Linked DNA regions of Sus scrofa. The protein of the gene in region 1 interacts with the protein of each later gene in a pairwise test. Links are inferred from orthologs where the notes say so. Each region holds a gene or a part of one and is shown on either strand. Other genes may lie near its edges.

Evidence for each region.
Region 2: the proteins of TRIM38 (region 1) and RFC5 interact in binary tests that used the Homo sapiens proteins (3 or more experiments, as listed by UniProt). The link is inferred for Sus scrofa from reciprocal best matches to the Homo sapiens genes TRIM38 and RFC5.

What each region holds. Positions count from the first base shown.
Region 1 is NC_010449.5:20,680,958-20,685,469, forward strand, and holds the start of TRIM38 (E3 ubiquitin-protein ligase TRIM38), read left to right. Parts: upstream 1-1,578; 5' UTR 1,579-1,798; intron 1,799-3,464; 5' UTR 3,465-3,609; coding exon 3,610-4,020; intron 4,021-4,512. UniProt on the Homo sapiens protein: E3 ubiquitin-protein and E3 SUMO-protein ligase that acts as a regulator of innate immunity. Acts as a negative regulator of type I interferon IFN-beta production by catalyzing 'Lys-48'-linked polyubiquitination of AZI2/NAP1, leading to its degradation.
Region 2 is NC_010456.5:34,639,576-34,644,137, reverse strand, and holds the start of RFC5 (replication factor C subunit 5), read left to right. Parts: upstream 1-1,539; 5' UTR 1,540-1,675; coding exon 1,676-1,740; intron 1,741-3,468; coding exon 3,469-3,533; intron 3,534-4,094; coding exon 4,095-4,231; intron 4,232-4,562. UniProt on the Homo sapiens protein: Subunit of the replication factor C (RFC) complex which acts during elongation of primed DNA templates by DNA polymerases delta and epsilon, and is necessary for ATP-dependent loading of proliferating cell nuclear antigen (PCNA) onto primed DNA.

The DNA.
Region 1 (4,512 bases):
CCCAGCCTCACTTACTGGAGGTGATGTCTCCCCAGGGGGAGCAGCTCCAATTAGTGTCTGTCTGGGCTCAGCTTTGAGGAACAAGTCTCTGCACAAAGGCTCACCTACATCCTTCTCGCCTTCAAGACCCACAGCTCTCTGTGTGAACCAGTCCCTCCTTCATGCAACGGAAACAGGTACAAGATGGGGCAGCTGTCACAGGACAGATGCTGGCATGAGGTTGATGCTTTGGTCTTGTTGTCATTGCCTGTTGGTAGCAGTAGTTTGTTTACTCGGTGGCATTCACTAGCTTCCTTTTCTTGATCCTTTGACAGGACACATTTGGGATGAGCTGGGTCCAGAGTCGCATCCACAACAATGAAAGTCGTGCGAATCTGCACAGAGTCTGCATTGGGTCAGGATTCGGGGTCTCATTCTTTCTCTTCCGTCTGCATGCTGGCTGCCTTGGGAGTAGATGTGTCCTGTACCATGTGTGGGGCCAGCTACCACAGGACATGCCAGGGCACTGTGAGTCACCTGGTGGCAAAACGGCCAAAGGCTCTGTGAACAGCCAGGAGGATGCAGTGCTGAAGAGAGACTCCTGTTTGGGTGGGAAGAGAGGAAGCTGTTTCACAATTTTGCCTCCAGCCTGAGCTGCTGAACCAGCAGGACTGTGGCTGCATCAAGTTCCCCCCAGTCTCCAGCTGCAGGTCCAATGCCCTTAGCACAGACCATGAACTTCCAGGGTCAGCAACTGACCCACCCAGCCAGGGGCCCAGGACCCAGAGTTCATCCCAGGCAGCTCTCAGAATCCAAACTTAACTTCTCCTGCCTGTGTCCTTAGCCATCCTTACTGGCTCCCCTGGGCCACTGCATGTATTTATTTCCTAAGCAAACACTGTGCACTTATCACAAATACCTCTTACACCTAAGGTTATGCATGTGGCAAGGTCTTATTTTGAGTTAGTTTTTTCACATTAAATAATAACTCTAAATTGGGTGGGCCCAGTATTTTTGCTTCTATTTTGAACTGGAGAGGCTGGAGCTGAGGCACTAAGTACTCAACCCTAGACCCCCAGAGAGCACTGAGCAATGCTCCCAGCTCACATGGCTCTCAGCTGAGGCCACTAACTGCTGGGCCATTAGTGGTTCCGTTTGCTGTCCTTGGTGCCCAACTCTGACTGTTGATAAGGATGAGAATCTTTCACAGGGACACTGAGGAGGCAGATGAGACAGGGTATCAGGGCAAAGAATGGGAGACTGCCTGGAGAAATTTTCTGCCATCAATGAGCCCCATTATGGTACCACCCCTTTTTTTTCACCACATCCTTCAGAGCAGTTATAAAACAACAAGCAGCCTAAAAATAGCAAAACGTAACATCAGCCAGGGAGGTTATGAATCCCAAGGGGTTTGGTGGCAAAAGCAGAAAGATCTCAAGTCAGAGTCTGTGAACTCTGCAGACTTCCTGGGTTTAGATCCTCTGTGCTAGAGTCACAAAAGAACTTCCTGAATTACCAATCCATCCCTTTTACTGCTGTAAAAAAAAAAAAAAAAAAAAAAAAAATTTCTTTAGCATCTCCCCTCCCTTTCAGCATAAGCAGAGTGCAAAAGAGATGGGCACATTTTCACTGGTTTCCTCCTCAGCTGGGCAGAGCTCCGCCTCCCACAGTAGTTTCACTTCTGAGTTTCTGTAGCCTGCGTGAACTTCCTGGCTGCTACGGAGGGATCTAGCAGAGAGTGTGTGACTATCTGTGGTGACGGGAGTGGAAAAGGTCCAGGCCCAGGTTTTCTTGGCGGAGGGCTAGGAGACATGTGCATGTGAGTGTGTGGTGGTGGGCGGCCGCGGGGTGGGTAGGGGTTGTTTTCTGAGAACAGAGCCTGCTGGAACTCTGAAAATGGCCAGGCCTTGGCTTCAGAGCTCTCACACCCTGTCTGCTTTCTCCTTTCCCACCCTCCACATCCAGTCTCAGAAGATCCAGGGTGTGAGGTGAGTGAAGGCCCAAGACAGGCACCCTTGGGCCTCAGAGGAGGGGAGGTAGGTCCTTCTCCCCAGGAGCACAGTATCCCTGGCAGAGAGGAGCCTAGTGGACCTTCTGGGCGAGATAACCTGCCAAAGAACAGATGTCTCTGGAAGAAATTCTCTGTGGCTCCATGAGCCCGGTTCTACTTATTAGAGGGAAATGGCCTCTCCAGTAACTTTGGCTGAATCCCTGCTCTTAATTCTGGTACTGTCACTTCAAAAGAAAGGTCACTCTCTAAACTTCCTCCAGCCTCCACTGCCCTCCCTGACCAACTGCCAGGAGTAGGCAAGCAGGGAGCAGGGCTGGGGTCCCGAAGCAGCTGCAGCAGTGGGTAAAGGGCTGACTTCTTCACTCCTGTTCCCTCCTCCAAAGTCTCTGGGTTGTCGGGTCCTCATTGAAGGACACCAGGGGTCCAGCACCCAGGGTCCCACAGAGGCCCTACCTTCCCCATCTGCTTCCTATGTCCCCACATCCTGGCTTCTGCAAACTCCCGTGCTCCAGTCACCCTGCAGTTCTCCTGAGAGTCAGGTCCTGCTCTGGAGAAGCAACAGTTAACCTCCCTAGCTCTCCAGGAACTCTGCTACCCATAACCAACCCCTTCTCTTCCCCCTTTTTTTTCTTTTTAGGGACGCATCCCCGGCATATGGAAGCTCCCAGGCTAGGGATTGAATTGGAGCTGCAGCTGCCTGCCTAGGCCACAGCCACAGCAATGCAGAATCTGAGCTGCGTCTGCAAACTATACCACAGCTCATGGCAACGCCAAATCCTTAACCCACTGAGTGAGGCCAGGGATCGGACCCATACCCTCATGGATACTAGTTGTGTTCTTAACCTGCTGAGCCACAAACGGAACTCCCCCAGCTTTTTCTAATTCTCTTTCTGTCAGGTCAGGGAGGGCTAATAGAGTTCCCTGGTTCTTCTGGATGTCTTTTTTACTTTCACTATCATCCTGATTGTGTCTCCACTGGGGATTTTATTAAGCTGGTGTCTATGGTTCTTTGTGGGTAAGAGTGGGAGTTTAATTAGAGTCAAATTGGATTGTTTCAATGGAATCTTCATAGACCACCCAGTTACCTAAGTGTCATTACCAGTTACAAAGAAATAATTCTGGTACTAGTTATTCTCAACCTTTATTAGAGTGGGAAAGAGTCTGACAGTCCCTCACTGAGTTCTCTCTCTTGCTGCAACTTTGCTGAGGAGGCCTACCTTGTCTCTCTCTCTCAGCACTTAGTCCAAGAAAACTTTTCACAATGATGGAATGTTCCATATCTGGGCTATCTTAGCTATCCATCACCTGCAGCTATTAAATAACTGAAATGTGGCTAGTGGGTGTGAGAAAGGAATTTTTAATTCTATTTAATTGTAATTAATTTAAATAGCCACAGGTAATAATGGCTACCATACTCCACAACAAAGCTACATTGTACACATTTTCTAAATTCCAATCTATTCCTTTTCTCTAGAAAGAAGACCTCATGACCTGTGGAGGCCAGTGGTAGCCAGTGCATCACAGAGGCTCAGGTGAGGTAATTTCTGAACATGGTGGGAAAATTCTGGCTGCTTCTTCTCTGCCTCTAAATCCAATATTGGAGCTTTTCAGGAAAAGCCATGGCCTCAACCACAACCACCAGGAAGATGAGGGAGGAAGCCACTTGCTCCATCTGCCTGCACCTCATGTCTAAGCCGGTGAGCATCAGCTGTGGACACAGCTACTGCCACTCGTGCATTGTGAACTTCTTTGAGAATCTCTGCCGAATGCAGCCATGGCTGGAGACATTCTCCTGTCCCCAGTGTCGGGTGCCATTTAAAATGTCAAGCCTCCGACCCAACGTGCAGCTGGGAGGCCTCATTGAAGCCATCAAGGAGATGGACCAGGAAATGTCATGTGAGGAACATGGAGAGAAGCTCCATCTGTTCTGTGAGAATGAAGGCAAGCTCATCTGCTGGCGCTGTGATCGGGGACCACAGCACAGAGGGCACGCCACAACTCTGGTGGAAGACGCGTGCCAAGGCTACAAGGTAAGTGGTGGGCCAGAGGGGTTTGGCAAGTACCTGGCCTCATGTTGCCCCTCACCCCACTCTGAGACCTGAGATTATTTAGCCTGAAACCCAAGATCAGGATCCTAGAATAAAGTTTTCATCATGTCATTCTTATGAGGGGTCCTCACTGAATCTGGTCCTAATGGTCTATCCTGACCGGAATGGTCAGACTCTTGTCCCTAGCCAGTCTCACTTTGATGACCTTCTCCCTGCCCTGATTGCCATGTGCTCCAACACCCACATGCATGTCCTATTGCCTCACACTCTGTATGTAATCTGGGAAACCACAATGTACAAGACCATGGGATAGAGTCTGAAAACACAGGGGACAAAGACACCACCTTGTAGGTAACCTATAGTTTAGTAGGAAAGACAAACCAACACAAAGGCTGCCTGGAGTCCCCTGGTTTGGCTGATTTGGAATGGGGCAATTTCCCCAAAAGTGACTCCAGAAGAACACATAAAAATTAA
Region 2 (4,562 bases), on another chromosome or scaffold:
GTGGAGAGCCTGCTGGAAGGGGAGGAGAGAGGAAGGTGGAATGCACTGGATGCTTACTTAGATTATTTCATCTAATCCTTACAACCATCTTGGAGTAGATATGATGAGGATGAGGAGAGAAGTAACCTGCCCAGAATTTAGAGGAAAAAAGTTGCATCCTGGCAATCTGCACAGCCATTGTTAGGAGGAAGCAGAGATTAGGGCACTGTCATATCACAAGCCACATCTGACCCCCTTTCTCTGACTCCTCAAGTAGGGGCCAGGGTGAAGCCATAAATGCCATTGTATATTTGCCCACTGTCCCTCTACTCTGCTCCTAAAACAGGCCGCAGTGAAGGAGTAAGATGCCCAAAGCAGCTAATTCTCAATCAGAACACTTTTTTTTCTTTTTTTCTTTTTAGGGCCACACTTGCTGCATATGGAAGTTTCCAGGCTGGGAGTCGATTGGGAGCTGGAGCTGCAGGTCTTCCCATAGCCAGAGCAATGACAGATCCTAGCTGAATCTGCAACATACACCATAGTTCACAGCATCTCGGGATCCCTAACACACTGAGCAAGGCCAAGGATCAAACCCGCTTCCTCATGGATACTAGTCACGTTCATTACTGCTGAGCCACAATGGGAACTCCCTGAATCAGAACAATTCTGATCCCAGGCCACTCATCTCTTCCCAGAACTGTTGTCTTTTGCAACATGTTTTTTGTTTTGTTTTTGGCTGCACCCGCAGCATATGGAAGTTCCCAGGCCAGGAATCGAACCTGAGTGGCCACAGAGACAATACTCAATCCTTAACCCTCTGCCCCACAGTGGGAACTCCTCCACACGTTTTTAAAAAACTTTATTATGAATGTAATACACACTCATTTCTGGGAAATACAGACCAGCAAAATAGAAGAAAACAAAATCCCCTCACCTCAGAAAAAAATACTAGCATTTTGATATGAGATCAAAGGGACCCTGTCCTGTATGTTTACTAACTAGGCCTTTCTAGTTATACAAGTTAATCTAACCGGAGTGATTTACCTATTTATTTGTTCATTCCTGGAGGTCGGTTCTGTAAATTTCGTTGGGCGAGGGACATAGGTCTGGGAGACAGAATGGAGTTGTTTGTAATTGTTTTCCAATTTGAAGTACTTCACCTCCCAGCTCTGGGGCCAAAAGTATTTCGAGTCTTTTTTCATACTGTATCTATATTCAAGAACTGGCCTTGTCAATTGGGAGTGGTTTTTCCTCAGGATTTTTTGCGCTGGCAGCTTTCTGTGCCTTTGAACAGTAAGTGTTTGAACTTAGTTTATGGCTGCAATTGGCTTTGGCTGTGAGACTTTAATTCGTAATGACGATAGGCGGCCGCAGCGGGTGGTCTGCCCTCTCCTGCTCCCTGTCCCCCTAGGCTCAGAACCGCGTCAGAGACAGCACAACTCGAGCTAGGAGGTCGGAGTCGGAGCTAGGCGGGCTGCGGGCACCTCTAGTAACCCGGCAACGGGGGCCTTAGCAACGGGGAGGGGGCGGGACCAACGGAGGAAGTCGGAAGCAGGCAGCTAAATATCGCGACACTTACTTTTGCGCGCGAACTCTAAGCTCTAGGGTCGCGGGGCCAGGTTCGCGGTTGCTCGCGGGGCAGGCCCCTGAGGGACGAGACGGCGTCACTGGACCTGGACACCTTCATCACCCCATCATGCAGACCTCAGCGCACAAGCAGCAGCAGCAGCCCGAGGCAACCAAGATCAGGAACCTGCCCTGGTAGGTCGAGGACCGTTTGCCGCAGGCAAGGGGGTGGGCCGCGCGGGGAGGCGGAGGCCGGAGTGGTCAAGGGGCTGGTCCTCAGCCCGACCTCGCCCCGCCGCCCACAGACTTGCGCGCCTTAACACCCTCAACTTCCCAGTCACGCTCCATTCTATTTAGAACTTTTCCCAGCTGCCCTCACCCCGCACCCCCATGTCTCATACTGGCCCTCTTTCCTGTTGCCAGAAGACTGAGTGACAACACAGGGCTTCGATCCCGTGTCTCCCAGACTTTGCACTGGCCTCCGTGGCAAAATGTTCTCTCTTGCCAAAATATTCTCTCCATGCGATTACTGGTCAAATTCTAAACTAGAAGATTAATAGTACCAGTGCTGGAGTTCCCATAGTGGCACAGCAGAAACAAATCTAACTAGTATCCATAAGGACGCAGGTTTTCATCCATGGCCTCGCTCAGTGGGTTAAGGAACCCGCGTTGTGGTGAGCTGTGGTGTAGGTCGCAGATGCTGCTCGGATCCTGCGTTGATGTGGCTGTCCCCTGCGCTGGCAGCTGCAGCTCTCATTGACCCCTAGCCTGGGAATTAACATATTCCCATGGTGCGGCCCTAAAAAAGACCAAAAAAAAAAAAAAAAAAAAAAAGTCCCCTAGTTAAGTTTTCTTTAGATGATTTTGTCAGATTAGCGGGCACCCTATTACAGTTTGACCTTTACAAAGACCCTACGAAGTAGGTACTGTTAATCCCCGTTTTACCAAAAGGTTAAATGACTTGCCTAAGGTCCAGAGTTGGGAAATAGGTTTGGATTTGAACCAGGTGGTCCAGATTCAGAACTTGCACTTTTAACCATCCTACTTCTACAACTCATGGTTTAAAGACTGATGGGATTTGGCTTGACTTCAGAAAACTCAAATTTCTTTTGTTTCCAATAACAAGTTATGTTTGGTTTTAGTCATAATAAAATACATAACATAAAATTTACACTTGTAACAATTTTAAACTGTACAATTAGGTGGCATTAAGTACATTCAGAATGTTGTGTAACCATCCTACTGTCATCACCCCCAAGTGACTCCATACCCACTGGCAGTGGCTCCCCATTCCCCACTCCTTCATCTCCTGGCAACCACTAATCTTCTGTCTGTGAATTTGCTTGTTCTGAATATTTCATATAAATGGAATCAAACAATAAATGGCCTTTCGTGACTGGCTTTTTTCTTATATCAGCAGCTCATTTCCTTTTATTGCCAAATAATATTCCATTGTATGGATATACCACCATTTTTTTAAATCCATTCATCTGTTGATTTATATTTGGATATGAGTTCAATTTTGGATTAACTTTAGATACCCATCCATGTTGAGGTTTTAGGCAGACATCTGGAAAGGTGAAATTAGAGCAGTTTTTCAACACTACTGATATTTTGGGCCAGATGTTTGGAGTTGAGGGAGGGCATGGGAGTTATCTTGTGCATTGTATGATGTTTAACAACATCCCTGGTGCCTATCCACTAGACGCCAGTAGCATCCTTCACCCAATTGTGACAGTGGAAAATGTCTCCAGGTATTATCAGGAGTTTGCTGGAGGACAAAATTGCCCCTGGTGAGAACCACTGGGTTAAAGGATTTTGTGTCTCTTCCTCTTTTAGTTAGGATATGAAAGGATTCTTTTGCATGTAACAAGATATTCTTGTATTTATATATGTTGTAATCTATGCTAAATTGTATTTCAGGGTTGAAAAATACCGGCCACAGACACTGGATGATCTCATTTCTCATCAGGACATTCTGAGTACTAGTAAGTATCTATGTGTCAGTTGCTGGTATCCTAGCTGCAGGACCTAGGAATGTTGTCTCTGCTGAGTAATAACTTTGAAGAATCTGACTGAGCTTTATAGGATGTGGCTTTAACAACTGAGTCAGATTTTTCCTTTTTTTTTTTTTTTTTTTTTTTTCTTTTTTTTTCTTTTTTCTTTTTTGGTCTTTTCTAGGGCTGCACCTGCAGCACATGGAGGCTCCCAGGCTAGGGGTCTAATCGGAGCTGTAGCCGCCGGCCTACACCACAGCCACAGCAACGTGGGATCTGAGCCGAGTCTACGACCTACACCACAGCTCACGGCAACACCAGATCCTTAACTACTGAGCGAAGCCAGGGATTGAACCCGAAACCTCATGGTTCCTAGTTGGACTCATTAACCACTGAGCTACGACGGGAACTCCCTGAGTCAGATTTTTCATTCCTAAACCTGCCCCAGCTTTGAACATAGGACTGAAGTGCACTCAGCCCAACTCAAGGGCCCACGGTGAATGAGGCACCTCTCAGAGACTGACAGTGTCTCTCTTTTTCCCCAATCTTCAGTTCAGAAGTTTATCAGTGAGGACCGCCTTCCGCACCTCCTTCTCTATGGTCCTCCAGGCACGGGAAAGACATCCACCATCCTGGCCTGTGCTAAACAGCTGTACAAAGATAAGGAATTCGGCTCCATGGTCTTGGAGGTAAATGGGAGGATTACTCTTATTCTCTAAGGACTCCAGTCTCTTTTAATTCTGCTAGTTTTTTGTTTGTTTGTTTTTTTCAGGGCAGCACCTGCAGTACATGGAAGTTTCCAGGCTAGGGATCCATTCGGAGCTACAGCTGCTGCCAGCCTACACCACAGCCACAGCAATGCAGGATCCAAACCACGTCTGCGACCTATACCACAGCTCACAGCAACTCGAGATTCTTAACTCGCTGAGTGAGGCCAGGAATCGAACCTGCAACTTCATTGTTCCTAATTGGATTCGTTTCTGCTTCACCACAACAGGAACTCTTCTTCTAGTTTTGTTT